Linked DNA regions of Macaca mulatta. The protein of the gene in region 1 interacts with the protein of each later gene in a pairwise test. Links are inferred from orthologs where the notes say so. Each region holds a gene or a part of one and is shown on either strand. Other genes may lie near its edges.

The links.
Region 2: the proteins of PNMA1 (region 1) and TCEANC interact in binary tests that used the Homo sapiens proteins (3 or more experiments, as listed by UniProt). The two-hybrid records come from large-scale screens. The link is inferred for Macaca mulatta from reciprocal best matches to the Homo sapiens genes PNMA1 and TCEANC.
Region 3: the proteins of PNMA1 (region 1) and SPATC1L interact in binary tests that used the Homo sapiens proteins (3 or more experiments, as listed by UniProt). The two-hybrid records come from large-scale screens. The link is inferred for Macaca mulatta from reciprocal best matches to the Homo sapiens genes PNMA1 and SPATC1L.
Region 4: the proteins of PNMA1 (region 1) and FMNL2 interact in a two-hybrid assay, tested with the Homo sapiens proteins (2 studies listed by BioGRID). The two-hybrid records come from large-scale screens. The link is inferred for Macaca mulatta from reciprocal best matches to the Homo sapiens genes PNMA1 and FMNL2.
Region 5: the proteins of PNMA1 (region 1) and SNRPB2 interact in binary tests that used the Homo sapiens proteins (3 or more experiments, as listed by UniProt). The two-hybrid records come from large-scale screens. The link is inferred for Macaca mulatta from reciprocal best matches to the Homo sapiens genes PNMA1 and SNRPB2.
Region 6: the proteins of PNMA1 (region 1) and SEMA4C interact in binary tests that used the Homo sapiens proteins (3 or more experiments, as listed by UniProt). The two-hybrid records come from large-scale screens. The link is inferred for Macaca mulatta from reciprocal best matches to the Homo sapiens genes PNMA1 and SEMA4C.

The regions. Positions count from the first base shown.
Region 1 is NC_133412.1:146,883,431-146,888,472, forward strand, and holds PNMA1 (paraneoplastic antigen Ma1), read right to left. Parts: upstream 3,013-5,042; 5' UTR 2,210-3,012; coding exon 1,148-2,209; 3' UTR 342-1,147; downstream 1-341.
Region 2 is NC_133426.1:13,307,213-13,311,673, reverse strand, and holds part of TCEANC (transcription elongation factor A N-terminal and central domain-containing protein), read right to left. Parts: intron 3,042-4,461; coding exon 2,968-3,041; intron 1,408-2,967; coding exon 347-1,407; 3' UTR 1-346.
Region 3 is NC_133408.1:1,395,085-1,400,202, reverse strand, and holds the start of SPATC1L (speriolin-like protein), read right to left. Parts: upstream 3,288-5,118; 5' UTR 3,076-3,287; intron 2,747-3,075; 5' UTR 2,621-2,746; intron 1,322-2,620; 5' UTR 1,256-1,321; intron 955-1,255; 5' UTR 822-954; intron 1-821.
Region 4 is NC_133417.1:57,534,785-57,539,245, reverse strand, and holds part of FMNL2 (formin-like protein 2), read right to left. Parts: intron 2,058-4,461; coding exon 1,933-2,057; intron 965-1,932; coding exon 762-964; intron 1-761. UniProt on the Homo sapiens protein: Plays a role in the regulation of cell morphology and cytoskeletal organization. Required in the cortical actin filament dynamics.
Region 5 is NC_133415.1:67,265,663-67,270,880, forward strand, and holds the start of SNRPB2 (U2 small nuclear ribonucleoprotein B''), read right to left. Parts: upstream 3,529-5,218; 5' UTR 3,432-3,528; exon of another isoform or gene 3,097-3,431; intron 1,820-3,096; 5' UTR 1,782-1,819; coding exon 1,718-1,781; intron 1,323-1,717; coding exon 1,150-1,322; intron 1-1,149. UniProt on the Homo sapiens protein: Involved in pre-mRNA splicing as component of the spliceosome. Associated with sn-RNP U2, where it contributes to the binding of stem loop IV of U2 snRNA.
Region 6 is NC_133418.1:5,528,388-5,532,848, reverse strand, and holds the end of SEMA4C (semaphorin-4C precursor), read left to right. Parts: coding exon 1-190; intron 191-321; coding exon 322-434; intron 435-1,933; coding exon 1,934-2,091; intron 2,092-2,178; coding exon 2,179-2,249; intron 2,250-2,372; coding exon 2,373-3,202; 3' UTR 3,203-3,744; downstream 3,745-4,461.

The DNA.
Region 1 (5,042 bases):
CCAGCTACTCAGGAGGCTGAGGCAGGAGAATCACTTGAATCCGGGGGAGGCAGACGTTGCAGTGAGCTGAGATCGCTCCATTGCACTCCAGCCTGGGCAACAGAGCAAGACCCTCTCTGCCCTTAATAAAAATAAAAAATTTAAAAAATTAAAAAATAAACCAAAAAAATGTTAAGATGACAGCAAGAGGGGAAGGAAAAAAAAGGACTTGCCATTTAAATTCACATAGTATCATACAAAGCTTAAGAGTAAAATAAATGGTTTAATGACAAAGTCTTCATAAGAAAAAAGGACAGAGTTTACTTAGGCTAAAAATGTTTATACATGCCAGAAAAATGAGAAGACAACAGAATTTTTAAAATATTTTAATTTGTATATATAACTTCAAATTTAGAACACTCAGTATGAACAAGAACTATTCTCTGACAAAGATCTGAAATGGGGAAGTGAATTACTGTACAGGTGCATATCAACCTCTCCATGCAATTTACATCTGTATCTTATGCAATGAGAAACTGGTTTACACAGCTCCGTAATTGCAGTATTTTTTTAACACCCCATTTTGCAGTCTCAGAATACTTTTCAATTAAACTGATCGACATGTTTAAAGATGAGAAATATGATGTTTGCATTGTAAAGTTGAGTAATAGCTAATAAATGCACATTTCCTTCCATCAATATAAATCTGGAACTATTTATGGTAAAGAAAAATCTATCTGCGCTATCAGTAATCTAATAGTTCATACTTTTACTGAACACTTCCTGTGAGCCAGGCCCCGTAGTAAACATCTGCACATGCAATTTCACATTCAGTGTGGAATAGGAAGTGTCAGAGGTTCGTGTGTTTTTCACAACTGATTATGATGTCCATGATGACAGCGTGCACTAAGCGCTGTGTCCAACCAACCCTTTACCTGGCACTTTAGCCAGCAAGACCCACTTGCATTGTAGCAGCTCACGGTGCTCGCTTGCACAATTTTAGAATGTTACATGAATACTCAGGCCTGACTAACCTTCCCCTCCAAAAAAACAACAAAACGGAACAGGGCTAAGCCTTTACTACTCAGAGACACATCTGTAAGACCCCCACAGGGACAAGAAAACTAGCTGTGATCTAGGTCTGCACTAAAGCTGTCTTTTCTGGCACTCAGAAGTGCCCTTCCAGGCCTAACTGCAGAAGGGTGGCCTCAGCCTCCTCCTCCTCCTCCTTGGCTTCCTCCTCACGGATCTGCACCAGCAACTGAAAGAGGTTTGGGGCCGGCCCTTCCCCAGCCCCGGTAAGCCACAGCTGCCTTCGGATGGCCCCGCTGTGGTTGGCCCCAGCAATGACCTGCTCTAGGCGGGCCTGGTTCACGTTATCTTTATCAATGGCCCCCTTCTCTACCACCTTCTGTAGCAGAGGCTCCAGACGAATGACATAAGCAGACAATTTTTCTCCCGGGTTCTGATAAGTGTTCAGAAATTTGATCTGGGCATCCCTAGAGCTCTCAACGCTCCCAAACACCTGCTCAAGCGCCTTCAGGCATTCGGCAGTGGTTATCGCGGGGTTGTTGGACTTGAGGATGCGAATGACATCAGCGGCAGGGCCTCTAAGGCTCTCCATCAACCGCCGCCTCTTTTCTACATCGGACACCTGCCACTCCTCTAGGACCTCATTAGTGTGCTCCAGCCAGGGATCAAAGGTTTCCTCTCCAGGCCCTGGGATGTCCCTCCCCGAGAAAAGTGTCAGCCTCTTGTACCATATGGACTCAACAAGAGGCTGAATAACATTATCCAAAATATAGTTTAGCATCTCTGCTGGCATCTCTGGGCCCGGGGTCGGAGTAGGGTTCTGAAACCCAAGGACACGGGCAACATCTTGCACGGTCCACCCCTCTCTAGCTAGGAAGAGGTGCAATCTTTCTAAAAATTCAGCATCAGAAGTTGGGGGCTTAAACAACACTTTCCAGACCCCTCCTTTGCCCGGCATCTCCCTGGGGATCGCGGCGTAATCGACAGCGCCAGTGAGCTCTAATAAGGCTGCTTTCGCATTTTCTTCCCTCCAGAACATTCTCCCAAGCATTCGGTAGGGGACCTGGGGCATCGCTGCCTGGAGGGTCTCTTCGATTTCAGCCTCATCACAGTTCACTGGGATGCCCCAGACCAACAGAGCTCTCTGGGAGTTCACATCCATCCCCCGGCACCAGTCTTCCAACAGTGTCATCGCCATTTTCTCAACTATCAAGACGCCAATTCTACCAACAGACTGTGGCTCACCGTACTCCTGGCCTTAGAACAATACCAGACACTCCCACCAAGTAGGCCCAAGGGAGGTAGGCTTCATGCATTCACGACTAACAAAGACACAGAGTCCTGATCTCGCCCTTCTCTGCCCCCCCAGTCAGTCCGTAGGTACACTTGGAGCTGAGCTCGGGGACGCTGAGGAAGTCACGCGGCCGTCGCCATCTTGCGTCTGGGTCCGGGTCCGGTCGGGTCTGCCGCTTGCAGCCGGGCTGTCGCGTCGTCGTGCAGCGGGCAAGGAGCGAGGGCGGGCGGCGAAGGCAGGCGCGCTGGGTCGAAAGCAGCCGGGGTGTGGTCGCGGGGCGTGCCCGCCGGGCGCTCGCTGCGGCTCCTGGAGAGGATCGGGCGTTCGCGGTCGCAGCCTGGTCTTCCCGCGGGCGAGGAGCGGCCGTTTGGGAGACTAGCCAGAGGGAGAGACTGTGCCGAAGTCGCGGCGGCTGCGGGCCAGCGGAGAGCGGCTTCTTGGAGGGCGTGGGGACTCCTCTTGGCGGGCGCGGGGACTCCTCTGGGCGGGCGGCGAGGACGGCCGAGGACCAGAAACGAAGGCAGCAGAGGAGCAGGAAAGCCGGAGAAGCGAGGCTGGAAACAGCACAGGCAAGGGTGGGCAGCGGCGGCCGCGGCGGCCTGCAGCGGCTCAGGCGCTGCGCGGCTGCCCCAGCGTCGAGTCCTACCCGCAACCCGCTGCGACGTTACTGCTGCAGTGGAGGATGGGGCCAGCCCGCGAGCGGCGTCAGCCCCGCCCCGTCCCGCCCCTGTGGCGGAGCCGCTCGGGCGTCGCCATGGCAACGGCGCCCCAGCTGGCGCGAATCACGCCTGCTCCGGCGGCCCGCGGGGGTCGAGCGGTTGCCATGGTGCCAGCGAGGGGCTCGGGCATTTGTTTCTCTGATGGCGCATTTCCTTTTTCATAATTTTCCATTTTAACAGCAAACAAATACTGCTAAGCACCGTGTTTTAAAAATAATAACCCAATCCTGGAGTGGATTTAAGATGATACTATTGGAAGTCATGGCATCCCTCATGGTGGACTTGTCTACTCGGGTTGCCCAGCCAGTCCACCCTGCACGTGAAAATACTCTCCTCAGAACCCTGGCTTCCCGTTACCCCTGACCACACTGTGCACCCTGCGTATTTTATCCCAATGAAGCCGGAGTGCGCCATTTTTTGTGTGAGATACTGAGTTTAGACTTTTTCTTGTCTAAACTTTTGTAAACATCTGTTTGTCTGTGTCTACTGAGTCATCTTTTAGCCAGGCAAACATTAGTGTTATTTTCCTTTTCCTGGCTGGCATCGACAATAGGCTGCTAAAAGAGAATCCTTATGGCTCAAAAATGTCGAGTAATCTCCCTGCAAGCAAGACAAGGCCCACTTACATCAACCCCAGATGGTGAAAATCCCGAGAGAACATAGCATTCAACTCTGAATTTTTAAAACCTTATTTAATAAAAGGTTTAAAGATACAGAAGAACATTCAAAAGTAAATAAGTTACATAGGTACATTACAATCACATCAGCAAGATTCTTTAGTGTATTAATTTTTTCTTATAAAAAGCACACAAAAAATAAAATCTTCAGTCTCTATCACAACTGTACAGCAAAAGAGGTAATATTTATATGTATGTACACTATTTTAATATGTAACAGTCTTTTTCAAAAAGGGTGCCACAGGCAGCAAACACACAAAAGGCAGTGTCTGATCATTTTTGTTTCAAAATAAAAGGAATATACTTATTTATATGCTATTAAAATATTTGTACAATAATTACAGACTGTCAAGGCTGTTCCTGTGCTCTGTCCCCTCCAACAAGGCCTTCAACTTAGAGACAAATGAGGAAAAAGTGAAACAGCTGCAAATTGTTAGAGGCAAATATTAACATAGCAAAATGTGGGGAGGACACAATTGTTTTATAAAAATATCCCTACTTCCTGTAAACCTATGGAGTTAGGCTTGCCAGTCTGATAATAAATACCGTCCCAGAAAAGCGAGCCCCAGTGAAAACAACTAAACAGCTGAGGCTTGAGCATGTGTTGTATTCCTCCTTCATCTTAACATCTGGCACATGAGAAGAAAGAGGTTAGGTCACTGAGGCAGTTAAATATAGGCGATCCCTTTAGACATAAGCAGCAAAAGACCTTGGTGCCAGGAGTGGAAGGGGGCGCGGCAGAAGGGGTGGTATGTACCTTAGCTGTGAGGGGGGCTGCTGAAGGCATGGAGGACAGTAATGATGGCTCTGCCTCCTTGGATGGGTGGAGACCTCAGAAATGGTCTGCAGCACAGGCACTAGGTCAGTTTCCCGCCCTTAGCTGAATGCAGATGGATGCTGGGAGATGGATATGGTGAGATGGTGTGGGGAGGATGTTAAGAAAGCTGGAGGTGTTTATCACTTCTCAGAGCTCTGAATATAGGGAAAAAAACAACAAGAGACAAGCCCAGGGAGAAAGCACCATTAAGGATATACCTATGCCAGCTTCTATAGCTGCACCTACTTTATTGGCAAGTCACTTGCCACAATTACATCTACCCTCTAAACTTTTTAATTTTCACACTGTATCCAAGACATGAATGCATCCTGGAGCATGGACCTTCCTAAAATATGGTGTCTGGCAGGATTAATGCAGAGAGGTACCATCTTGATTTTCCCCAGTTACATTCACCGGGTCTGGTCTCTGTACGCTTAGAAGAGTAGAATCACTTTCTTGTTTAAACATTTATGGCCGGGCGCGGTGGTTCACGCCTGTAATGCCAGCACTTTGGGAGGCCGAGG
Region 2 (4,461 bases), on another chromosome or scaffold:
GGAAGATTACCTGGGGATCCTGCTAAAATGCAGATTCGGATTCAATGGTGTGAGGCCTGGGATGCATTTCCCACAGGCTCCCAGTTTATGCTGGGCTGTTCTCACCCACACTCTGTCTACAGTAAGGTATTAAATGGCCACAAGGCACAATACAAATAGTCATCCACTCCCTCTCCCCAAACTGTAACTTTTAGGGATGGTGGTGTCAGCTTCAGGAACGACTTTCTTTCCTCCTTCTTCTGTTTTAGAGAGTAGTGTGTACAAGATTTTTAAAAGCACAGAAGGGTTGTACAAATAAAAGGTATCAATCACTCAGGTTATTTGTTAAGAGAACACTCATTTACAGTTAAAAGCACACCCACTTGCTGTGGTACCACTGCTCCCCACATTCGTTACAAATTACATAAGTCATCATTTGTTCATCTGGGTTTGAATTCCGCACCCAGCTGGGAAGGAAAAGTGTTCCTCTGTCAATTACAGTGACTTTGCAATTGTATTTCTCACAGCGTCTGCATTTTATTTTATTTGTCTGTGTGCCATCAATTACTTGGGGAAGGTAATGTTCCTGGATACAAGATTCTGTGTAGGAGGCTCTCAACTGCTTCAGTTCCTTGTTTGCCATCTCCATGACAGTCATTTCAGCAAATTCTCGTGGAGACATGGTACCAGAGAGCAAGTTTTGTTGTAAGTGAGAATTTTTGGGGTTCTTCAAATTGGCAACTTTGCTTCTGATGCAAGTTTTATATTTTTTTATATTCTTTGAATAAAGGGTAAAAACATGCTCTTCAATTTCTCTTGCAAAGTTTTGCCACAAATCAGCTTTGGGTTGATCTGCAGAAGAACTAGTTAAAGCTGCGTAAAGAAGCTCTATGCATTTAGTTCTCATGGGTGTTATGGGATCCAGCAACTCACTCAATCTCTTACCAGTGGATTCAGGGCCACCATCCCCAAAATGCTCTTTCTTAGGTTTCAATTGAATGGCTTTATTTTCAGGCACAATCATTTCACTGAGTTTTGCAACATCTTGGGAAGATAGAGAATTTGAGCTGCAGATGCCCAGTGTCTCATCCTGACTTGGGTCATGAGAAGGTCCTGAATTTTCTTCATTACCCCTCACAGGAAATAATTTAGGGCTGTTCCTCGCTTTGGAGTGAGTCTCTTTATAAACAGCTTTCCACTTTGATAGCAAGCACTTGGCTTTGTTTTTCAAAGCCACAGAGGGGCAGTTTTTGAGGACTCTGTATACAGCTCTCACCACATCTGTCTCCTGGAGATGTTCCTTAGTCACATAAATTGTTTCTAGCTCAGTAAGGTGGTTGCCAAGATCCTCAAAATTCCTTTTGGACAACAGTTGCTCAATAAGGGAGGCTCTGGCAGCTATCTGGTTCTTGTCAGACATCTTTACAGCTGCAAAGAAAAAAGGGGTTTCAGTTTTCTTAAGTTTGCCTTTGCTAGTCGCAGCTTCTGGATACGAAAATAGCAGTTTCTGTCAGTAACCTAGGCAATGTTTTCTGAAGGAGTCATGTAATACAAATGTATGTGACATACTAGAAAACGGAGTCTTTAAGGTGGTATGGTTTACTCTCAAGAGTTTAATTCCTACTAGTGAAAAATAAACAAACAGTATTGCAGAGCCTCTACATAACATCTGCTTAAGAGGCTCGCCAGGGGATCTGCTATAGCTTTTCCATCTCCAATTTTACAAATCAATGATCTTTCTAGAGTAGTCAATCCATTTGGGTGGAATCCGGTGGTCATGCTGGAGATGAAATCATGCCAGTGTCAGCATCAATATGGCAATGCTGAACAGTGCTAGACAATTTTTCCCCAGAGTCAGCTATATAATTGAACTACTTGCTCATTTCATAATCTTTAAAGTGGTACTCTTCTGAATATAAAAGAGTAAGAAACAAGACAGAAAGGGTTTGCTAATGTCTCAAGCAATCTAAAGAAACCATGAGACAGCACAGGTTGAAAAGCAGCTAGAGCTACGTCTGCGGGTCCCAAAAGCCAACAGGCTACACTGTGCTGCCTCAGAAGTCTCCTGAACAAGGGAAAGGTTCAGACTCAATGATCCAGATGATTTATGACTTTAGACTAACTGGTTCCTACATTTTGGTTTTGTTAATTTTTTAAAAACTTTTAAGCGTAAAAAGTTGCTCAATGATTATGTCTGTGTGAATCTCATCCTAGGCAGGCAAACGTTTACTTTATCTAAGCAGTCTACCTTTTCCTCTCCACATAATGTACATAATCTTGTCTATATAATACCCTTGGATCTATATTTATCTGTCTGGTCTAGATGTGAACATAAGCATCTTGATGGCAGGGACTGTGTCTTTTCAAAAATCCATGGGCTCTGTTTTATAGCACTTGATGTTAAATAATCACCACTGAACATGCACAGGCTAAGAACACTGAAGTGTTTAGAGAGAGAATTCATGCAATCTTCCCAGACACCATCTGACAAGTGACATAAAACATAATGACCTTTTAGTAATTCAACTTCCATAAATTTACTTTAAGGAAATGAGAGATGTGGAGACTGCATATGTAAGAATTTTTTTCTAAGGAGAAATTGGAAGGACCTCAAATGGTTAAATGGAGAATGGTTAAAAATATGGCACACTCCTTAGATACAATAATATAACCATTTAAAAATCATGTATTTAGATATTTAATGACATGGAAAAATGGTCATAAAGTTAGGTGAAAAACAATCAAGATGTAAAACTATATAAAAGATTAAACAGTTATCATATGGGCTGGGCGTGGTGGCTCACGCCTGTAATCCCAGCACTTTGGGAGGCTAAGGTGGGCAGATCACGAGGTCAGGAGATTGAGAACATCCTGGCTAACATGGTGAAACCCTGTCTCTACTAAAAATACAAAAAATTAGCTGGGAGTGGTGGCAGGCACCTGTAGTCCCAGCTACTTGGGAGGTTGAAGCAGGAGAATGGCATGAACCTGGGAGGCGGAGTTTGCAGTGAGCCAAGATCATGCCACTGTACTCCAGCCTGGGCGACACAGCAAGACTCCGTCTAAAAAAATAAAATAAATAAATAAACCAGTTATCATGACCCAGCAGATCCAAGAGAAATGGAAACATATGTCCACGCAAAAACTTGTACACAAATGTTCATAACAGCATTATTCACAATAGCCAAAAATGGGAAATAATCGAAATGTCCATCAACTGATGAATGGATAAATAAAATGTGATTTATCCACACAACAGAATATTATTCTGCCATGAAAAGGAATGAAGTATTGATACAGGTTACAACATGGATGAACTTTGAAAACATTATGCTAAGCGGAAGAAGCCAGACAGAAAACACCACATATTGCATGATTTTATTTACATGAAATGTCCAAAACAGGCAAATCTATAGAGACAGAAAATAGATTAGTTGTTGACTAGGTAGGGTGGGGCAGAAGGGCAGCAGGGTGAAGAAGGAGGAGCAGCTGATAAAGTTCAGGGATTTTCTTGGGGAGTGGTGGCACAAATAAATCTTCTAAAAGTTGATTTATTTGTGGTTATGGGTTATACAACTGAGTATACTAAAAAACGCTGAATTACACACTTTAGGTGAATTGTATGATGTGTGAACTACATCTGAATAAAGGTGTTATTTAAAAATAGAATCTGATCCAAATTTTATTTAAGAATTACATGTGAAAAGACTGAAAAGAGTTACACAAAATTTTAAAGAGGGGCATTTTCTGAATGGCAAGATTTTAGGTAATTTTCATTTGTTCTTTTCCTCTTCTGTATTTTCTGTGATGAGCGTGTATTGTTTTCATAATCAGAAAAGTTATTAGTCTAATGTAATTTCATGATAAACTATATACATTTAAGATATACCTACTGAAAAATGGTATGAGCAATGAATCAATCACCTTCTACCTACTTTCCCTCTGGAATGAGAATGTACTTAACACTACTGAACTGTATACTTAAAAGGGCTTAAGACAGGCTGGCCGTGGTGGCTCACACCTGCAATCCCGGCACTTTGGGAGGCCAAGGCGAGTGGATCATGAGGTCAAGAGATCGAGTCCATCCTGGCCAACACAGTGAAATCTCATCTCTACTAAAAATACAAAAAGTTAGCTGGGCGTGGTGGGGCACGCCTGTAGTCCCAGCTACTTGGAAGGCTGCGGCAGGAGAATTGCTTGAACTCGGGAGGCGGAGGTTGCAGTAAGCTGAGATTGTGCACTGCACTCCAACCTGGTGACAGAGCAAGACTCTGTCAAAAAAAAAAGCTGGGGGGGGGGGGAGCTTAAGACAGTAAATTTTATGTTTTGTATATTTTATCACAATTAAAAATTTTTAAAGAAATATAAAGGTCAATAAAAGAACATATAAAATGAAGAGCAAAGTGCTTTGGTTGTTTATACATAAATACATTAACTTCTATAGATTTACTCATTTTGCCGGTAAGACAAATTACTGCTTTC
Region 3 (5,118 bases), on another chromosome or scaffold:
GAGACCAGTCTTGGAGGGAGACCAGCCTTGAGGGGAGACCAGCCTGGCAGGGGAGACCAGCCTGTGGTGGGGACCAGCCTGGTGGAGGAGACCAGCCTGCGGGGAGACCAGCCTTGGGGTGAGACCAGCCTCGGGGGGGAGACCAGCCTGGAGGGGAGACCAGCCTTGGGGTGAGACCAGCCTCGGGGGGGAGACCAGCCTTGGGGTGAGACCACCCTCGGGGGGGAGACCAGCCTGTGGGGCAGACCAGCCTGGGGAGGAGACCAGCCTGGGGAGGAGACCAGCCTGGGGAGGAGACCAGCCTGGGGAGGAGACCAGTCTTGGGGGGAGACCAGCCTGGGGGGAGACCAGCCTGGGGGGAGACCAGTCTTGTGGGGAGGAGACCGGCCTGGAGGGGGAGACTGGCCTGGGGAGGAGACCGGCCTGGCAGGGAGACCACCCTGGGGAGGAGACCAGCCTGGGGCAGCCCCACCATGGGCCCCACGATTGGCCCCACATGCTGAGGGGCGCTGGGTGGCCCTGAGGGCTGGGCTGGAGGCCACCTGCTGACCTCACTCCCCAATGAGAAGGGTCCAGCAGTGCCTGTCCACCCCTCGGACCACGAGCGCCCATGTCTGAGACACCAATTGTTCCTGACTGCACTGCTCCTGCCTGCACCTAACTGAGGACGGCCCCAACCCATGGCCACGGCCTCTCGGGCCGTCACGCAGGGCTGTGGCTCACAGGGTCCTGCTAGAGTAGGCGCTGTCCTCGGTCAGTGTGACCAGCTTGAAACCCACCCTGACTCCCCGCTTCTCCAATTACTTGGGGAAGTAAATCACCTCAGTGTTGTTTCTTGGCTCCGAGAGTCTTGTTTTATCAGCAGCCGGGATGTAACAGAAGGGTCATCTCATCCTCGTGGGAAGGGACGTAGTCCAGAAAACACAACCCACTGGGCCGGCCACACCTCCAGCCCTGTGACGGGCACCCACCACCACCAACCCAGTGGGCCGGCCACACCTCCAGCCCTGTGACGGGCACCCACCACCACCAACCCACTGGGCCGGCCACACCTCCAGCCCTGTGACGGGCACCCACCACCACCAACCCAGTGGGCCGGCCACACCTCCAGCCCTGTGACGGGCACCCACCACCAACCCAGTGGGCTGGCCACACCTCCAGCCCTGTGATGGGCACTCAGGACCACCAACAACCCAGTGGGCCAACCACACCTCCAGCCCTGTGACGGGCACTCAGGACCACCAAGGGCACTCACGTGCAGACGTCCCCAAGGAGACCACCACCTTCATTCAGCCCGGGCGGCCACATTAGGGCAACGTTGCTTCCAGGAGAGAGTCTCGAGTCAGGCTTTGTGGAGAATGGAGGTTGCCATACCCCAAGCGTTCCTGACACAACCCAACCCGTCTGGCTGCACCACAGGGCTCACACCTCAGATCAAGACAACGGGGGCCCAGACACAGCCCACTGACGAGGGCATGCCCCTGCATGTCCAGGATGCAGGGCAGAGAGAGAAGTCAGGGGTGAGTCACAGATGCGCCCCCCACTCTGAGCCCGACGGGGCCCTGAATGGCTTTTCCTGCCCTGGCTCCTCCCATCATATTTTAAATGCCATCTTCTTCCCGCTCCAAGGAAGCCTTCTCCTGACATCACGTACTCTCCAGCCACGGACCTATCAACACTCTGACAGTTTTCTGATCTTGACACATTATCCTTTTAATATAGCACTGGATTCAATTTATTAATATCTTAAGTATTTTTATGCTCACAGGGGAAATCAATCTGAATCTCCCTTTCTTGTGATGTCTTGGTCTGGCTTTGGAACACTGGCCTTTTAAAATCAGCTGCAGGGGTTCCATGCCATTTTCTGGGTGTTCCTCCTTTTTTTTTTTTTTTTTTTTTTTTTTGAGACAGAGTCTCGCTCTGTCGCCCGGGCTGGAGTGCAGTGGCCGGATCTCAGCTCACTGCAAGCTCCGCCTCCCAGGTTTACGCCATTCTCCTGCCTCAGCCTCCCGAGTAGCTGGGACTACAGGTGCCGCCACCTCGCCTGGCTAGTATTTTTTTTTTTTTTTTTGTATTTTTTAGTAGAGACGGGGTTTCATCATGTTAGCCAGGATGGTCTCGATCTCCTGACCTCGTGATCCGCCCGTCTCGGCCTCCCAAAGTGCTGGGATTACAGGCTTGAGCCAACGCACCCGGCCGGGTGTTCATTCTTAAACGTCAGAATTCACCTGTGAAGCTACCTAGAACTAGATTTCTTCTGGGAAGGTTTTAAATTTCTAAATCAATTTATTAAAAGACACAACGCTACTGACAGTTTCTATTTTTCCCTCATGTGCGTTTTGCGGACAATTGTGGCTGTCAGGTAGTTTGTCCGTTTCCTGTGGTTGTGGAGCCCGGGCATCAAGCTTTACACCCCACAAATTCTAATGTCATGTTTTTATTCTCCTTCAACTTGAAATATTCTCTGGTTTCCTTTGTGCTTTTGTCTTTTTCAAGACTGTTTTTAGAGGAGTTTTAGGTTCTCAGCAACATTGAGAGGAAGGTACAGAGATTTCCCCACTCTCTGCCCCAACAAATGCACAGCCTCCCCTATTATCAACGTCCTGCACCAAAGTGGTACCTTTTTGAGACAAGGTCTCGCTCTGCTGCCCAGGCTGAAGGGCAAGTGGCATGATCACGGCTCACTGCAGCCTCAAATTCCTGGGCTCAAGAGATCCTCCTGCCTCAGCCTCCCAAGCAGCTGGGCCTACAAGTGCGCACACCCACACTCAGAATTTGTCACGGCTGATGAACCTACATGGACACATCACCACCACCCAAAGCCCACAGTTTACAGTGGGGCTCACTCTCGAGGCTGCACATTCTCTGGCTTTGGACAAATGTATGATGACCTTATCCACCGCTGGTGTCAGGCCGGAGCAGTTTCATTGCCCTAAAAATCCTCTGTTCACCCCTCCCCCGGCCCTGACCTCCAGCAACCGCTGACTTTTTACTGTTTCCACAGTTTTACCTTCGAGAGTGTGATCTAGTTGGAATCACAGTATGCAGCCTTTTCAAACTGCCTTTTCCACTTACTAATATGCACTTAAGGGTCCTCCGTGTCTCTTCATGGCTTGATAGCTCATTTCCTCTTAGTGCTGAGTAATATTCCACGGTCTGGCTGCACCGAAGTCTACTCACTCATTCACGTACGGAAGCACATTTTGGTTGCTTTCACATTTGGGTAGCTATGAATAAACAGCTATCAGCCTCTGTGTGCAGGTGCTTGTGTGGACTCCTTTGGGTAAACACCAAGCAGTGCAATTGCTGGATAGATAGCGAGAGTATGTTTAGTTTTGTCAGAAACCACCAAGCTGTCTTCCACAGCGGCTGTGCCTATTCAAGTTATCAAAAGAGAAGGAAAAAAAAGAAATTAAAAAAAATAATAATAAACAGTGGCTTCACCATTTTGCATTCCCGCCAACGGTGAGTTCCTGTTACTCCACGTCCTCACCAGCACTTGGTGGTGGCAGTGTTCTGGATTGTGGCCACTCCAATAGGTATATTGGTCGTTTTAATTTGCATTCCCCTGATGACATATGATGTGGAACATCTGTTCATATGCTTATTTAACAACTGGGTATCTTCTTTGGTATGGCGTCTGTTAAGGTCTCTGGCCCATTTTTTCACCAGGTTGTTTTATTGTTGGGTTTGAAGAGCTCTTTTGGATACTGATCCTTTGTGTTTTTCAAATATATTCTCTCAGTCTCTGACTTGTCTTTTCATTTTCTTGACATTCTTTGCAGAACAGAAACTTTAATTAATTATGTATTTTATTGAGACAGGGTCTCACTCTGTCACGTAAGTTAGAGTACAGCGGCGTAATCACAGTTCACTGCAGCCTCAACCTCCCAGGCTCAAGCAATCCTCCCACCTCAGTGTTCCAAGCAGCTGGGACAACAGGCATGCACCACCACACCTGCCTCATCTTTTGATTGTTTTGTACAGATGGGGTTTCACTATGGTACCCAGGCTGGTCTCCAACTCCTGGGTCCAAGTGACCCTCCCACCTTGGCCCCTCAAAGTGCTGGAATTACAGGCGCGAGCCAAAAATGTATCATGTTAGTGAAGCCCAACCTATCGATGTTTTCTTTAGTGGATCATGCCTTTGGTGTCATATCTAGAGTCACTGCCAAACCCAAGGTCACTTAGATTTCCTCCTACGTGATGTTCTAGGGGTTTTATAGTTTTATGTTTTACATTTAGGTCTCTGATTCATCTTGAGTGTGTCTAGATGTGAAGGGTATGTCAAGGTTCATTTTTTTTTTTTTTTACAAATGAAGTTTGGTTGTTTCAGCATCATTTGTTGAAGACTGTCCTTTCTCCATCGAACTGCCTTTGCTCCTTTGCCACTGACTTTCAATTTAGTTTGACTCCACTGTGGTGGGGAAGGATGCTCTGTATGACTTCCATCCTTGCTGACATCCTGACACTCAGCTCCTGAGCCAGCTATGGTCTACCTTAGCACATGGGCCCCAAGCTCTTGAAAAGCTGTGTGCTTCACCACTGTTAGGTGAGGTATCCTCCAAAGACCACTCGCTTGTGTTGGTTGATGTTCAAATCTCTATCCTTATAGATCTCATGTTTATCAGTTGCTAAGACAAGTACGAAAAGCTCCCATTAAAATTGTGTTTTCATCTCATTCTCTTCAATTCTGCCATTTCGCTTCATGTATTTTGAAGCTGTTACTTAGTGCATATACATTTAGGGTTGTTATGTCTTGATAAATTGATCTTATCATTATTGTCTCTTTACTTATTTCTGGTACCATTCCTTGTCCTACGGTCTATGTTGATATTAAAAACATCAAGAGTCTGAAACTTTACATCATAGCAAACAAAGAAAACCTAATATGACGCCAGGGAAAAGATTTCAGAATGTTCAAAATCTATTCCTGATAAAAATCATCTGAATTCAAAAATTTTTTGTGAGTTACTCAGGATAGTGAACTTGATTTTTAATCACACTGAGGCAAATATCCCCCTCAGACAGAGGCTGCACAGGTGCAGCTGCCATCTCCTCTTGGTGGTCTCCTTTGTCAAGAGCACGTCAGGGTGATGAGCCATCGGGGACAGTCAC
Region 4 (4,461 bases), on another chromosome or scaffold:
GAACAAAGGATTTCTCAGGGTCATTTACACCTCTAAGTCACTAACCAAAATTTACAAGATAATCCATTTATAAATAATTAGTTCCTAAAACATTTAATAATGTCTTCGTCACATTTGAAAGTCACCATGGCCACAAGAATAGAAGGATTCTTCTAATAGAGAAGTAAAACCAATGCCTTCTATGCAGTTCAAGAGTAAAAAATGAACTTTGTTTAAAATGTCCTGAAAGTACTAAAAGCAAAACAATTCATTCCTGTTGTTATGAATTAAAATATGCATCTGTATCATATTTGCGTCTGGCATTGAACTGTATCATTCCACAAATGCCATCAAATTTGTATTCAACAAATCTGGATAAAATTCAGATACTCCAGAGAAAACTGACATCTTCTACCTTTTCTTAACATCTGCCACACTCAGCTCAACTTTCCTTTTATGTAAGCATTGCTGGAGGCCCGCATAAGAGATAATAAATGATGTCACAATCCAGATGTTATTCTTCTAAAACAATTAGTTACTCGTTCTAACACAACACTCCCCAGGGTGATTTCTGGTCCACCTCTTTCGTGTTGGCATCATATGCAACTTTGAAGTAGCACACACAGAGTTCAGGAGATCTCTGAAGTATGGATATCAAAAATTGCTCCAGCTTTTATCTTAGCTCTTGCCTCACTATTGAAATATTTGTCATCTACTAATTCATAACTTTCTCATTTTCATTTTATTATAAACTAACTAGAATATAATTTTCCTGAACTTACACATGAATAGCTTTACATATTTCATCAGCAGTCTTTCCAGCTTTCCTTAAAGTTATGGCAAGATTTTTGGCCCTGTTTGCTTCTAGTAATGTCACTTTGTTTGATCCCTTCTGTGGTATCTTCTGTTTGCTTGAAGAAAGATCAATGGCAGGACCTTGGGCTTTTGTCTTGAATATTTCCTCAAATTCATCCACATTTAAATCCTAAGGTAGAGAGGAATGACCATGGAAAATTGGATTATATTTAAAAATGAAGTCTGGAAGCCACCAGTTAGTTTCTTAAGCAAAGACATTACTTTTTCTATTAAGTACTTGTCTTTGGCCATGGCTTGCTCTATTTTTCTTGTTTTTGTTAGAGTACAAATTCTGGCACATACACAAAAGTGAACATAGGCTGGGTGTGGCGGCTCATGCCTGTAATCCTAGCACTTTGGGAGGCCAAGGGTGGATCACTTAAGGTCAGGAGTTTGAGACCAGCCTGGCCAACATGGTAAAAGCCGCTCTCTACTAAAAATACGAAGAATAGCCAGGCGTGGTAGTGTATGCCTGTAATCTCAGCTACTTGTGAGGCTAATCAGAGAACTGCTTGAACCTGGGAGGCAGAGGTTGCAGTGAGCCGAGATTGCACCACTGCACTACAGCCTGGGTGACAGAGCGAGACTCCGTCTCAAATAATAATAATAATAATAATTAAAAAATAAAATAAAATAAAAATAAAAAAGTGAACATTAGACTACCGATTCTAACCCACCAATTCAATTGCTTTTCAATAATTAGCTTGCATAGACAGCTGCCACAGATTAAAATTATCTATCAAATAAGGCAGTGAGTGTGGTAATTGAGTTCTTATTCACTTACAGTCTGAAAGTTTTTATGTCTTTCTCTCAATTAAGGGAAGGAATTATTATGTCAGATCTATATTCTGTGGCATACACTGAAAATGCTCAAAAGCATTTATTCCAATTTAACATAACTCTTTAAACACAGTTTTAGAGCCACCTTACAAAATAGTGTCAAATGTTTTTCTCCGATATTACATATCTGTTTCTTCTTTACATCAAGGGACTTATAACACTAGTACTTTATCTCTGACACTTCCAGGTTAACAAAACACCCATGTTGGCTTTGCTGCACAGAGTGCACCTCTAGTTTCTAACCAATGAGAAAAATACCTCCAGAATTCGCTCATCATCAATTTCATTGAAGACTGTGCCATTGATCTGATTGGGCTTCAGAGCAACCCAGTTAAACACTGGCATTCGGAACTTTGTCTTGATTGGCTTCTTAATTTTCACAGCTAAAGACATCAAAGAGAATGGAATTAAGATCCCACCAAAAGCCTACGACCCTCAGAAACAATCAGACAACAGTCCTTGCAGATGACACTTTAACACTGGAGGAAGGTTGGCAAGAGGCGCGCAAGTAGGTGTTTAAAGCTGGTAAACAACACACATGGCTTCGGCCAGAGCCAGTTGAGGTCATCATTTGATTGTATTAAAAGCCGTCTAAGGGCCAAGGGTTGATTTTTTTTTTTTTTTAACTCAGGCAACTAATTTGCTGCATTACAGTTACAATATTAGGACGATGGTTGGGACAAATAAAAAGTGTTGGAGAGCAAAGATTATTACTCATGTTATTAGATAGCAAAGAGGGCAAAAACTTGCCATATTTGGACATCCTAAATTCTTGGTTGTGGACCACATATTTACAAACAAACCTTAGAAGATGATCAGGGAGTGCAGATAGTGGCTGACTAGACTACCAGGAGTATAACGTCATGAAGGCTGACTTTCCACCAGGGCAAGACCTTCCCGTGGGTGATTCTGATATATTGGCTGCTGAGTTATTTTAAGCAGACTAAGGGCTATGAAAGGCCTAATGAGAAAATAGGTTTTTGAGGTCTTGCTCTGTCACCCAGGCTGCAGTGCAGTGGCGCAATCATGGCTCACTGCAGCCTTGACCTCCCAGGCTCAGGCAATCCATCCACCTCAGCCTCCAAGTAGCTGGAACCACAGGTGTGTGCCACCATGCCTGGCTAATTTTTATATTTTTTATAGAGACAGAGTTTCACATGTTGCCCAGGCTGGTCTCAAACGCCTGGACTCAAGCGAGCTGCCCCACTCGGCCTCCCAGAGTGCTGGGATTACAGGATTAAGCCATCTTGCCCAGCCTAAGAAAACATTTAAGACGACAGAACAAAAAAAGGGGTAAATACAGAGCAAGACTCTGTCTTAAAAATAAATAAATAAAAGGGGGGAAAAAAAGGAAAATAAATTGCAGGGCATGGTGGCTCAAAGTCTTAGCACTTTGGGAGGCCAAGGCAGGTGGATCACCTGAGGTCAGGAGTTCAGGACCAGCCTGGCCAACATGGTAAAACCCCCATCTCTACTAAAAATACAAAAATTAGCCAATTGTGGTGGTGTGCACCTGTAATCCCAGCTACTCGGAAAGCTGAGGCAGGAGAATCACTTGAACCCGGGAGGCAGAGGTTGCAGTGTGCCGAGATCATGCCATTGCACTTCAGCCTGGGCAACAAGAGTGAAACTCCATCTCAAAAAAAAAAAAAAAAGAAAGACAGAATGAGAGAGAGAGAAAGAAAAGAGAGAGAGAGAGAGAGAGAGAAAGAAAAAGAGAAAGACAGAAAAAAGAAAGAGAAAGAAAGAAAAAGGAAAGAAAGAAAGAAAGAAAGAAAGAAAGAAAGAAAGAAAGAAAGAAAGAAAGAAAGAAAGGAAAAGAAATCTAGAAAGAAAGCAATCTAGAAATTGTATTGATTCTCAGATTCAGAAATGGCCACAGTCCCTTGCCCTTCTTTTTGAAAAGCAAGTTATTCCCAGGAGTCACCTGTGTTTGACTAGGAGGTATTGATACACTCATTAAAAATACTGAAAATCTCTTAATAGAGAAAATGGGATGTATCTTTAAGGGACTATGGGGAGTGCCAACTCCTCTCACTGTGAGGAAATATGCCAAAAAAGGTAATCCATTTAAAATTATATTTATCTGTTATATATCATAAAGAAGTCTTCCCAAACCATTTAGCCATATCCATTCAGCTTCATCAGTCTGTCCTGGGTAGCCCATCACACTACTTGGGAGCTTCACTATTTGTCATTATTAGCAAGACAGGCAGGAGAACTTCAGTGCTTCAGTGCAGAACAAAATAAAAGCAACACACGACTAAGCTTGTAGCTGGCTGCCTGCCTGCTTGCCTGCCTCAGTTGGCGTTAACTGACACAGACGGTGCCTCTCATTCCTCCAGAGTTACAAAGGCCATTTAAACAGCAGGAATGTCATCTGATAAATCCACACAAAAGCATGCAGAAAAACAGACACAGCTTTAGCCAAACCAGGCCTCTCCACCACCAAACGTGACACCTTTGTCCCCACTACCCCAGTGTCAGATTCCTCACCATACAGCATTTTGTCTCCACTACCCAGGAAAACAGATGTTCTCAACGGGACAAAGGAACAGACTTTCCTCTAGCACTTGCTCTTGCATTGCCTCTGGCACTTCGGTAATGTCGGGGATCGGGGAGCAGCGGAAGGGCTGCAGAGGAGTCTTTTCATAACCTGAGGTGACAGGCTGGTGCCAATGGCTTCCTACCTTCCTCCCACGGACATGGTAGGCTCATGACGCTCGCTAGAGGTTTGCCATCTGCAACCACTCTTCTAACTGTTTAGCAAGGTCAGGAGTAAGCCTG
Region 5 (5,218 bases), on another chromosome or scaffold:
ACTCCTGATGCTGCCGCTGGTTATATTACTTTAACCTAGATGAACAATTAAACTTTCTGTGCCTGGTTATTCATCTGTAAAATGAAGGGATTAGATCAGTGGTCTGTACCACAGTCTGAGCCAAACCCTGCCCATGGCCTGCATGAACTTTTTTTGATAATGTTAAAGGGTTGTTAAAAAACATAAGCACATAAAAGAATAGGTAACAGAAACCACATATGGCCTACAAAGCCTAAAGTATTAGGTACTTCTTTACAGTTTTTGCTGATGCCTGCATTAGACCAAAGAACCACTTTGTTTACACTTCAGAGGTGGTAAAACTGACCCATGCACAGAGCCAGTTAACAGTACAACCAGAATGAAGACCCAGCTCCTCTAAACCCTGGCCTTTGGTTTTTTGTCCAACACTCCTTCACATCACATTCTAATCGCAGAAAAAAAGCAGTTTGGAATCCACACCCAAGGTACGGTATATTCCCTCAGACATAGAGAATCCCTTGCTTCACACTCTGTGGTCACCCTTATCTAATCCTCTACATCTCTGATTTACATCAAGGGCCTCCTGAGTTTCCCACTTCCTTTCTGTCCCTCCCACAATGCGACCTTCATCCAGCAGCTAGATGTGAATCTCATTATGTCATTCCTGAGTTTAAAACTCTCCAAACAATTTCATTTCCATTGTTATTCCTAAAACCTATGAGTTTGAACCTATCATTTTTCTTTAGATCACTGTTTCATCTAGACTGTGTAGCTTCTGACATATAGTATTTCACTATAGCATTTTCTAAAACTTCAGACTGAATTTCCCCTTTAGCTTCTGACTTTTGTAATGTTTTACAAGTTTACAAACAGGTTTCTTTTCAAGTCTTCCAGGTTATTATTAATTTCTAACTTTTTGAGATAAGACTATTGCCTAGACTGCCATTATTTTTTTAAATATTCTACATCTCAATGTATTTTGTTTTCAGCCATCTTAACCGTCATAAATTAAACTCTACTGCTATTGTTTTTCTATAAAAACACATAAACCCAAACACACGTAATTAAAAGCAGAAAGCAACAGCCACAGTTTCAAGCATATTTACAAATCTACTGTACCATCAATATCATTAATTTCTTGATTAAAGTGAAATAATAGAATTGGCTTACCATTGGTTTACCATAAAATGGAAATCCTTGTAACTGTCTCAAAGCATTCGTGGATGAGCCCAGTTCCTTAAATATGACAAAGGCCTGCCCCCTCATCTTCATGGTCTTTAAAGCCACAATGTCCACCACATGACCGAATTGAGAAAACAGGGCATACAGGGATCTCTTCAATTCTGTCCAAATTAGAAAAGAAACAAGTCATTGGTAATAAGATAATGACAAAAGTCTTCATAAAATGATACTGCATTGAGTTGCCTCCCCACCATTCACTTATTTATAGTTATATATATTTAATGTTTATAAAAACATATACTATTCCCATTGGCTATATGTAATTTTATAAGTCAGATGAAACCATTATATCTATGAGTAGAAACAGACTGTACACACTGTCAATTCCTACCTATTTTTGTTTTTTAAAAGTCTTCAAATCCCTATAGGTAATGGAATAAACCATTATTTCAGGCACTAAGACGACGAGGTAAGAGGTTTTGAGGCAATACAATTTTTAAGACAGTAGTAAATAAACACATTTTAGTAGTGAACAAGTATTTTTAAAAGCACTTACCTTCCTTTTTAATTTTGTCATTCATATTGTTGATATAAATTGTATGATTTGGTCTGATATCCATGTTTGTGTTAAATTCTTCAGAAGGAGACAGTAAAAAATCTGTTATAAAAAGGAAGGAGTAAATTATACTGGACTGTGGCATAAGGACACAACACACGAATTATTAACCTTTCACTTCTCTTTCAATCCCAATTGTTAGATGATGTCAGTTTGGCTGAAGCCTTTAGTGTACCTCCAGCACCTACTAGCCCTCCTTTTCATACAAAAGGAGAAGAGTTTCTCATGCTCAAAACTTGGAGCACCAATACCTAGCCAGATTTTAGTAACATCATTTAATTCAACACATTTATTTTCACACTTACTTTTCACTTATGACAAGTGATATTTTCTTTCCACCTCCTCAATAATTTAAAATGTAGATTTGAAGAAAAATGACCAAGTAGCAAATGTACATCCAGTGAAAATCATAAGGTTAGACATTAATGGAGTTTGCCAACTACTTCTTGGGTGCACTTACAAAGTCCTTCCATACCTATTACTTAATTTGTATACAGTATCACCAAGCTGTCTGGACTCCAAGGTTACCTCTAACCGACTTGAAAGAAGGGAGCTCAATGACAACAGTGTGGCATGACCGTTAAACTCAGATTCTAGTACCAACCATATGTGAATTCAAATCCTATTTATGCTTCTTATTAGCTGTTTGCCTGAGGGAAGTTCCTTAATCTGTCAGGTCCTCATCAGTAAAATGAGAATGGTAACAGAACCTACCCAACCGAACTCAGAAGACTAAATGAGTTCTAGCACAGTTTTGCATCAACGGTAAGCACTTAAAGTAGCTATTATTAACAGCTATTACCAGTTAAGGAACGTGCCTAAGGTCACACAGCTAATAAGCATCAAGCCTGGAAATTCAGCCCTTGCTTTCTCCTCTACACTTCTCTTCCTCGTCCACCACACTATTGCATTTTTTTAACGTGGTTTTTACTTGCAAACTGTGAAGCTGCTTGATTTCCTTGTGTGCCCCACATATTTCTTTATCTCACAAATATTTACGGAGCATCCACTGTACGTGAATAGCATTGGATGATTGACAAGGGAAGAGCCTACAAGCAGGGGCTGCACTTGTGCAGGTAACAGGTAAAACATAACGCTTCTCCAAGCCTTGGGACCCCCTAAATCGAAATCTGGAGAAGCGGCAAGGGTCACAAAGGAGACGACGAAAGGGAAGTGACTGAGGCAGAGGTCAAACTGAAGGTAGGGGGACAAAGGGGAGGCTCTTGCGGGGTTTCATGCGAGGTTTGATCGTGGGCTGGACTGTTACAGGGGCACCCTGAATTACCCGCCACTACCAAAAGGAAACCGCTGGAAGACACCTGAAAGCGCAGTGAACTGTCAGCGCCTCGCACAAGCAGACGGACATTATCCTTTACTTCGTAAGCGCAAGCCTCCCGCCTCTCCAGACACAAGCACCTTCGCCCGAGGCCCCCTAACGAAGTCCGAGGGAGCTGCCACGCGATGCCCGGCCCCTGAGTCAGTCTCCCATCTCTTCCTCGCCCCCAGCCTACTCGGGTACTCCGAGATCCAAATCCGGGCCAAACGCGTCCCCACCCCAGCTTCGCGCTTCGTCCGCTCCCAGCTGCAACAGGGGAGAGAAGGGCCGAGGAGCCAGGAAAACCGAAACAGCGAGGTAAAAGGTGCACGAACCCACCTAAGGCCTACGCAGTCTCCCGTAAGAACCAAAAGCAGGAAACGGAGCCAGGCACCGGAAGTAACGTTGCCACGCTCCTCAATCGAGCGCCCACAAGTCTACAAGCCGAGCGCAGAGCAGATCGATGCTTCCTGGTCTCTGGCGGCCCGTAGGTAATCTCTTTGCGCGTGCGTATGCCCTGCGGGCAGGAGAAGAGTCCGGAAATGGAAATGGGGAAAGGGACGGGGTTTGTGGGGACAATGCTGCGAGGGAATAGGGAAGAAGAGTGAATCATTTCCCTTACCACGACCTTGCGAAGCTTTGCCCCGCGCAAGAGTGCCTTCCACCTTTACAAATCCTATGTAATTTTACAGGCTCTGCCTCTCATGCTACGGGGCAGTTAGTCCTGGTTTCGCCCTTCTTTGGGCTCTGGCTGCCCCGGTTTAAAATCACCTTTAGGATAGCCGGTTCCTCCGGCCTCCAAGTCTCCTCTGATTCCTGGGGCTCTGCAGGAACTGTCCTCCAACACTCTGCTGATGAACTTGAATCTCAGAGGCTACCCAGTTTGAGGGCCCAGGGCAAACAGAACTGGTGTCTGCCCAATTCTCATCTCTCACCAGATAAGGCAACCATGCTGAGTAGAACCCAATCATCTGTAAGATCATCTGCCTCAACTCACTCGAAAAAATAATTCCCTACCACCCTTCCCACTCTTTTCTTCCCACAAAAAGTCTAGATTTTTCTAGGGTAGTCTAACGAGTTAGTATTTATGCCAAGCTGAATGGGAATTCCCAAAAAAATTCCCATGCTTTCATTCATTCATCCATTCATCAGATGTCTGTAAAGCATCACCTGGAATATGAAATGGTTGTTAAGAGTCAAGTGGAACCTAATCTTGTACCCTCTGCTTAACTAATCTCTCTGATCTTCACTCTTTTCGTCTGTAAAATAGGGATCCTAATAGTATCTCCTTCTAGTTGTTGTAGGCATTAAATGAGCTAAAATAAATGTAAAGTGGTTGGCACATTACCAGACACAAAATAAATGCTCAAAAATGTTATTTCTGAATTCTGGCTATAACTTGGTTATATTGGTGAGGCTCAAAAATGTTATTTCTGAGTTCTGGCTATAACTTGGTTATATTGGTGAGGCAGGTAGCTGTCAAATAAGTTAGTTTTATCAGCTGGGAATTTTTATTTTTTAAAAAACACCTAAAGTTGCAACAACTTGAAAATAATATAAGCTTCTTAAGGGTGGGGATTTTGTCTGCTCTGTTCACTCAAGTACCCTTAGTAATGAGAATAGTGACTGATAATTAATATGTATTGGATAAATGAATGACTGACATGGAAAACTAGGCAACAGTAAACAAATATGCTTTGAACATGCAGATGAGTGTAGAAAATGTTAAGGGATCACAGAAAAACATCCTTTTATTATATAGATCTAATACTACAAGAAATGGCTGAGTGTAGTAGCTCACACCTGTAATCCCAGCATTTGCGGAGGCTGAGATAGGACTGGTTGAGGCCAGGAGTTTGAAATCATCCTGGGCAACACAGTGAGATCTCATCTCTGAAATAAATAAATAAATAAATAAGAAGAAATAAATGAGAAATTCCTATCTCAGTCAAAGAATTATATCTTTAACAAATTAAAAGAGAATATAAACTTAATGTAAACAATTTCTAAATAACAAAGGACAAGCTATTCTGCGTATTAGTATGAGCATCTCAACAGTTAGTTCTATTTGTTGATAATGAGGATGGCTAAACTACTGAGAATAAACTATACTCTTTATTATATAA
Region 6 (4,461 bases), on another chromosome or scaffold:
ACCAGCTCCCTGGAGCTGCCTGACAACACCCTCAACTTCATCAAGAAGCACCCGCTGATGGAGGAGCAGGTGGGGCCTCGGTGGAGCCGCCCCCTGCTCGTGAAGAAGGGCACCAACTTCACCCACCTGGTGGCCGACCGGGTTACAGGACTTGATGGAGCCACCTATACAGTGCTGTTCATTGGCACAGGTGGGTGCATGGGTATGCAGGCATGGCTGCTCGAGGCTGGGCAGAAGCCCATGTGCCCAGGGCAGGGAGATTTGGAGCTGCCCCACAGCCCTGTGCCCTGTCATTTACACCTTCCCGTCTGCACCCCTCAGGAGATGGCTGGCTGCTCAAGGCCGTGAGCCTGGGGCCCTGGGTTCACCTGATTGAAGAGCTGCAGCTGTTTGACCAGGAGCCCATGGGAAGCCTGGTGCTGGCTCAGAGCAAGGTAGTGAGTTGGGCCCTATCTGCCACCGTCCCCAGCACTGTCCTTCTCGCTCTGTCTGTCTGGCTGCTTCTCCCAGTTGGGCCTACATGCTTGGCCAGTGCAGAGTTAGGAACACACACACGCATGGACGCACACCTTGCCTAACCTGGGGTGGGTTCCTGGAAACGAGAATGAAAACAGAATGGAATCTGCGCTGCACGGGGCCATTATATACAGCCAGGTCACGAGGCCGCACTCCCAGCATCAAGCCTTGGTAACTACTCCCATGTTTCCTTCAGACCCTCCAAGCTGTGCTGTGGTCCTGGCTCTGGCCTCTTCCCTGACCATGCCCCTGTGACCAGACCTCCCAGCCTGTGAGATGTTTATGACGCCTTCACCATGGTGGTTTCCTTCCAGCCCCCAGCTGCTCTCTGGTCCCCGCCCTCCATGTCCGTGACTGTTTCCCTGAAGTGCTTGCATTATATCCTTGTGCAATACTCCTTTTGGTTTCTTTTGAGTCGGAGTCTCACTCTGTCACCCAGGCTGAAGTGCAGTGATGCGATCTCAGTGCACTGCAACCTCCACCTCCCAGGTTGAAGCTATTCTCCTGCCTCAGCCTCCTGAGTAGCTGGGATTGATTACAGGTGCCTGCCACCACGCCCAGCTAAAGGTTTTTTTTTGTTGTTGTTGTTGAGATGGAGTCTCACTCTGTCGCCCAGGCTGGAGTGCAGTGGCGTGATCTCAGCTGATTGCAACCTCCACCTCCCAGGTTCAAGCAATTCTGCCTCAGCCTCCCAAGTAACTGGGACTACAGGCACATGCCACCATGCCCGGCTCATTTTTGTATCTTTAGTAGAGACAAGGTTTTACCATGTTGGCCAGACTGGTCTTGAACTCCTAACCTCAAGTTGGAGATTTGCCCACCTCAGCCTCCCAAAGTGCTTGGATTCCAGGCATGACCTGCTGTGCCCAGTTGCCTTGTGCAATACTCTTGTGGCATGTTTACTACACCTCCTGAACTTTGATTTGTTTGCCTTTTACCACCTATTGTGACTCAAAATTGTCCCCCAGAACATGGAATAATGGCAGAAAGAAAGTGTGTGGTTGAAGAAACCCACAGATTGGCATCCACTGTTGAAACAGGAAAACATCTTATGTTATGCTGCTGCTGTCGTGAGGGCTGATGGGCCTTGAGAGAAATGTATTTCCCGCACTAATGTGTGTGAGTGTGTATGATTATACTTTTTGGCCTCACAGCCCCACATCTCTTTCTAATAAGGTCACGTCTCTAAGGGGCTTAGGATTGCATCTGGCCTGCGTAAGCCCTTTGCGTTCTGCAGTTCTTAGAGTTCCCTTTTCAGCACTACAGCTCTGCCTCGTTCCCTTGTTCCTCCTTCTGGTGCCCCGTCCTGTGCCCCCTGCAGAAGTCCAAGCTGTCCCCGTGCTGCGTTCTGGTCCGGCCGCCCCTCCCACGGTGTGGCCCTGGCTGACCCCCCTTCTGCGCCCCGCTTCTCTCGCAGAAGCTGCTCTTTGCCGGCTCCCGCTCTCAGCTGGTGCAGCTGCCCCTGGCCGACTGCATGAAGTACCGCTCCTGTGCAGACTGTGTCCTCGCCCGGGACCCCTATTGTGCCTGGAGCGTCAACACCAGCCGCTGTGTGGCCGTGGGTGGCCACTCTGGGTGAGTTGGGCTCTACATAGACCAGGACCAGCAGGGACTCAGGGTGGTTGGAGCCAGGCTGCTGATGTACCCTCCATCCCCTACCAGATCTCTGCTGATCCAGCACGTGATGATCTCGGACACTTCAGGCATCTGCAACCTCCGAGGCAGTAAGAAAGGTGAGCTTTTTCATTCCCCTCGCATCGGGCTGAGCCCGGACCAGAGCTGGAGTTTCTGTTCTCCTCTTCCCTAGCCCCGCTTTCCTGTACTAACATGCACTCTCTTTTTCTCTGCCACTACAGTCAGGGCCACTCCCAAAAACATCACGGTGGTGGCGGGCACAGACCTGGTGCTGCCCTGCCACCTCTCCTCCAACTTGGCCCATGCCCGCTGGACCTTTGGGGGCCGGGACCTGCCTGCGGAACAGCCCGGCTCTTTCCTCTACGATGCCCGGCTCCAGGCCCTAGTTGTGATGGCCGCCCAGCCCCGCCACGCTGGGGCCTACCACTGCTTTTCAGAGGAGCAGGGGGCGCGGCTAGCTGCTGAAGGCTACCTTGTGGCTGTCGTGGCAGGCCCGTCGGTGACCTTGGAGGCCCGGGCCCCCCTGGAAAACCTGGGGCTGGTGTGGCTGGCGGTGGTGGCCCTGGGGGCCGTGTGCCTGGTGCTGCTGCTGCTGGTGCTGTCACTGCGCCGGCGGCTGCGGGAAGAGCTGGAGAAAGGGGCCAAGGCTACTGAGAGGACCCTGGTGTACCCCCTGGAGCTGCCCAAGGAGCCCACCAGTCCCCCCTTCCGGCCCTGTCCTGAACCAGATGAGAAACTTTGGGATCCTGTCGGTTACTACTATTCAGATGGCTCCCTTAAGATAGTACCTGGGCATGCCCGGTGCCAGCCCGGCGGGGGCCCCCCTTCACCACCTCCAGGCATCCCAGGCCAGCCTCTGCCTTCTCCAACTCGGCTTCACTTGGGGGGTGGGCGGAACTCAAATGCCAATGGTTACGTGCGCTTACAACTAGGAGGGGAGGACCGGGGAGGGCTCGGGCACCCCCTGCCTGAGCTTGCGGATGAACTGAGACGCAAACTGCAGCAACGCCAGCCACTGCCCGACTCCAACCCCGAGGAGTCATCAGTATGAGGGGAAACCCCCACCGCGTCGGCGGGAAGCGTGGGAGGTGTAGCTCCTACTTTTGCACAGGCACCAGCTACCTCAGGGACATGGCATGGGCACCTGCTCTGTCTGGGACGGATACTGCCCAGCACCCACCCGGCCATGAGGACCTGCTCTGCTCAGCACGGGCACTGCCACTTGGTGTGGCTCACCAGGGCACCAGCCTCGCAGGAGGCATCTTCCTCTCTGTGAATCACAGACACGCGGGACCCCAGCCGCCAAAACTTTTCAAGGCAGAAATGTCAAGATGGGTGTTTGTCCGTATTTGCACGTGTGTTTGTGTGTCTGTGTGTGTGTGTGCACGTGCGTGCGCGCTTGTGGTATAGCCTTCCTGTTTCTGTCAAGTCTTCCCTTGGCCTGGGTCCTCCTGGTGAGTCATTGGAGCTATGAAGGGGAAGGGGTCGTATCACTTTGCCTCTCCTACCCCCACTGTCCCGAATGTCGGGCAGCGATGTACATATGGGGGTGGGGTGGGCAGGGTGCTGTGCCCCTTCAGGGGGAGTGCAGGGCTCGGGGTGGGCCTAGTCCTGCTCCTAGGGCTGTGAATGTTTTCAGGGTGGGGGGAGGGAGATGGAGCCTCCTGTGTGTTTTGGGGGAAGGGTGGGTGGGGCCTCCCACTTGGCCCTGGGGTTCAGTGGTATTTTATATTTGCCTTCTTCCTGTACAGGGCTGGGAAAGGCTGTGTGAGGGGAGAGAGGGTGGGACTGCTGTGGATAATGGCATACTCTCTTCCAGCCCTAGGAGGGGGGCTCCCAACGGTGTAACTTATTGTGTCCCCGCGTATTTATTTGTTGTAAATATTTGAGTATTTTTATATTGACAAATAAAATGGAGAAAATGAAACGATTTCTGTGATGGGGCTAAGATGTTTGGGCTAAAGCCCTTCTGGGTACCGAGAGGGAAAGCTCTCTGGGTGGAGGGAGGCTGGACAGGACCTCCCCCACAGTCCCAGGGCGGCCACCACTTTTGTGGTCCCTGCCTGCCTGCCTGTGGGAGGGAACAGCCCAGCTCCAGTGTTTTCCCACAGTGGTGGCTGCGGCGCTGGGAACCAGACCATGGCCACAGCCCCTTGGGAGCCAGCTTTGGCTTCTGGCCAGAAGGAGAAGTCAGGGCACTGGGAGTCCAGGGGAGAAGTGGAGTTGGGGGGCGGGGGTGCCTTCCCAGAACTCAGGACGGTTAGTGGGAGTGAGGGGCCAAAGGAGTGGAAGGTTGTGGAGATGAGATCG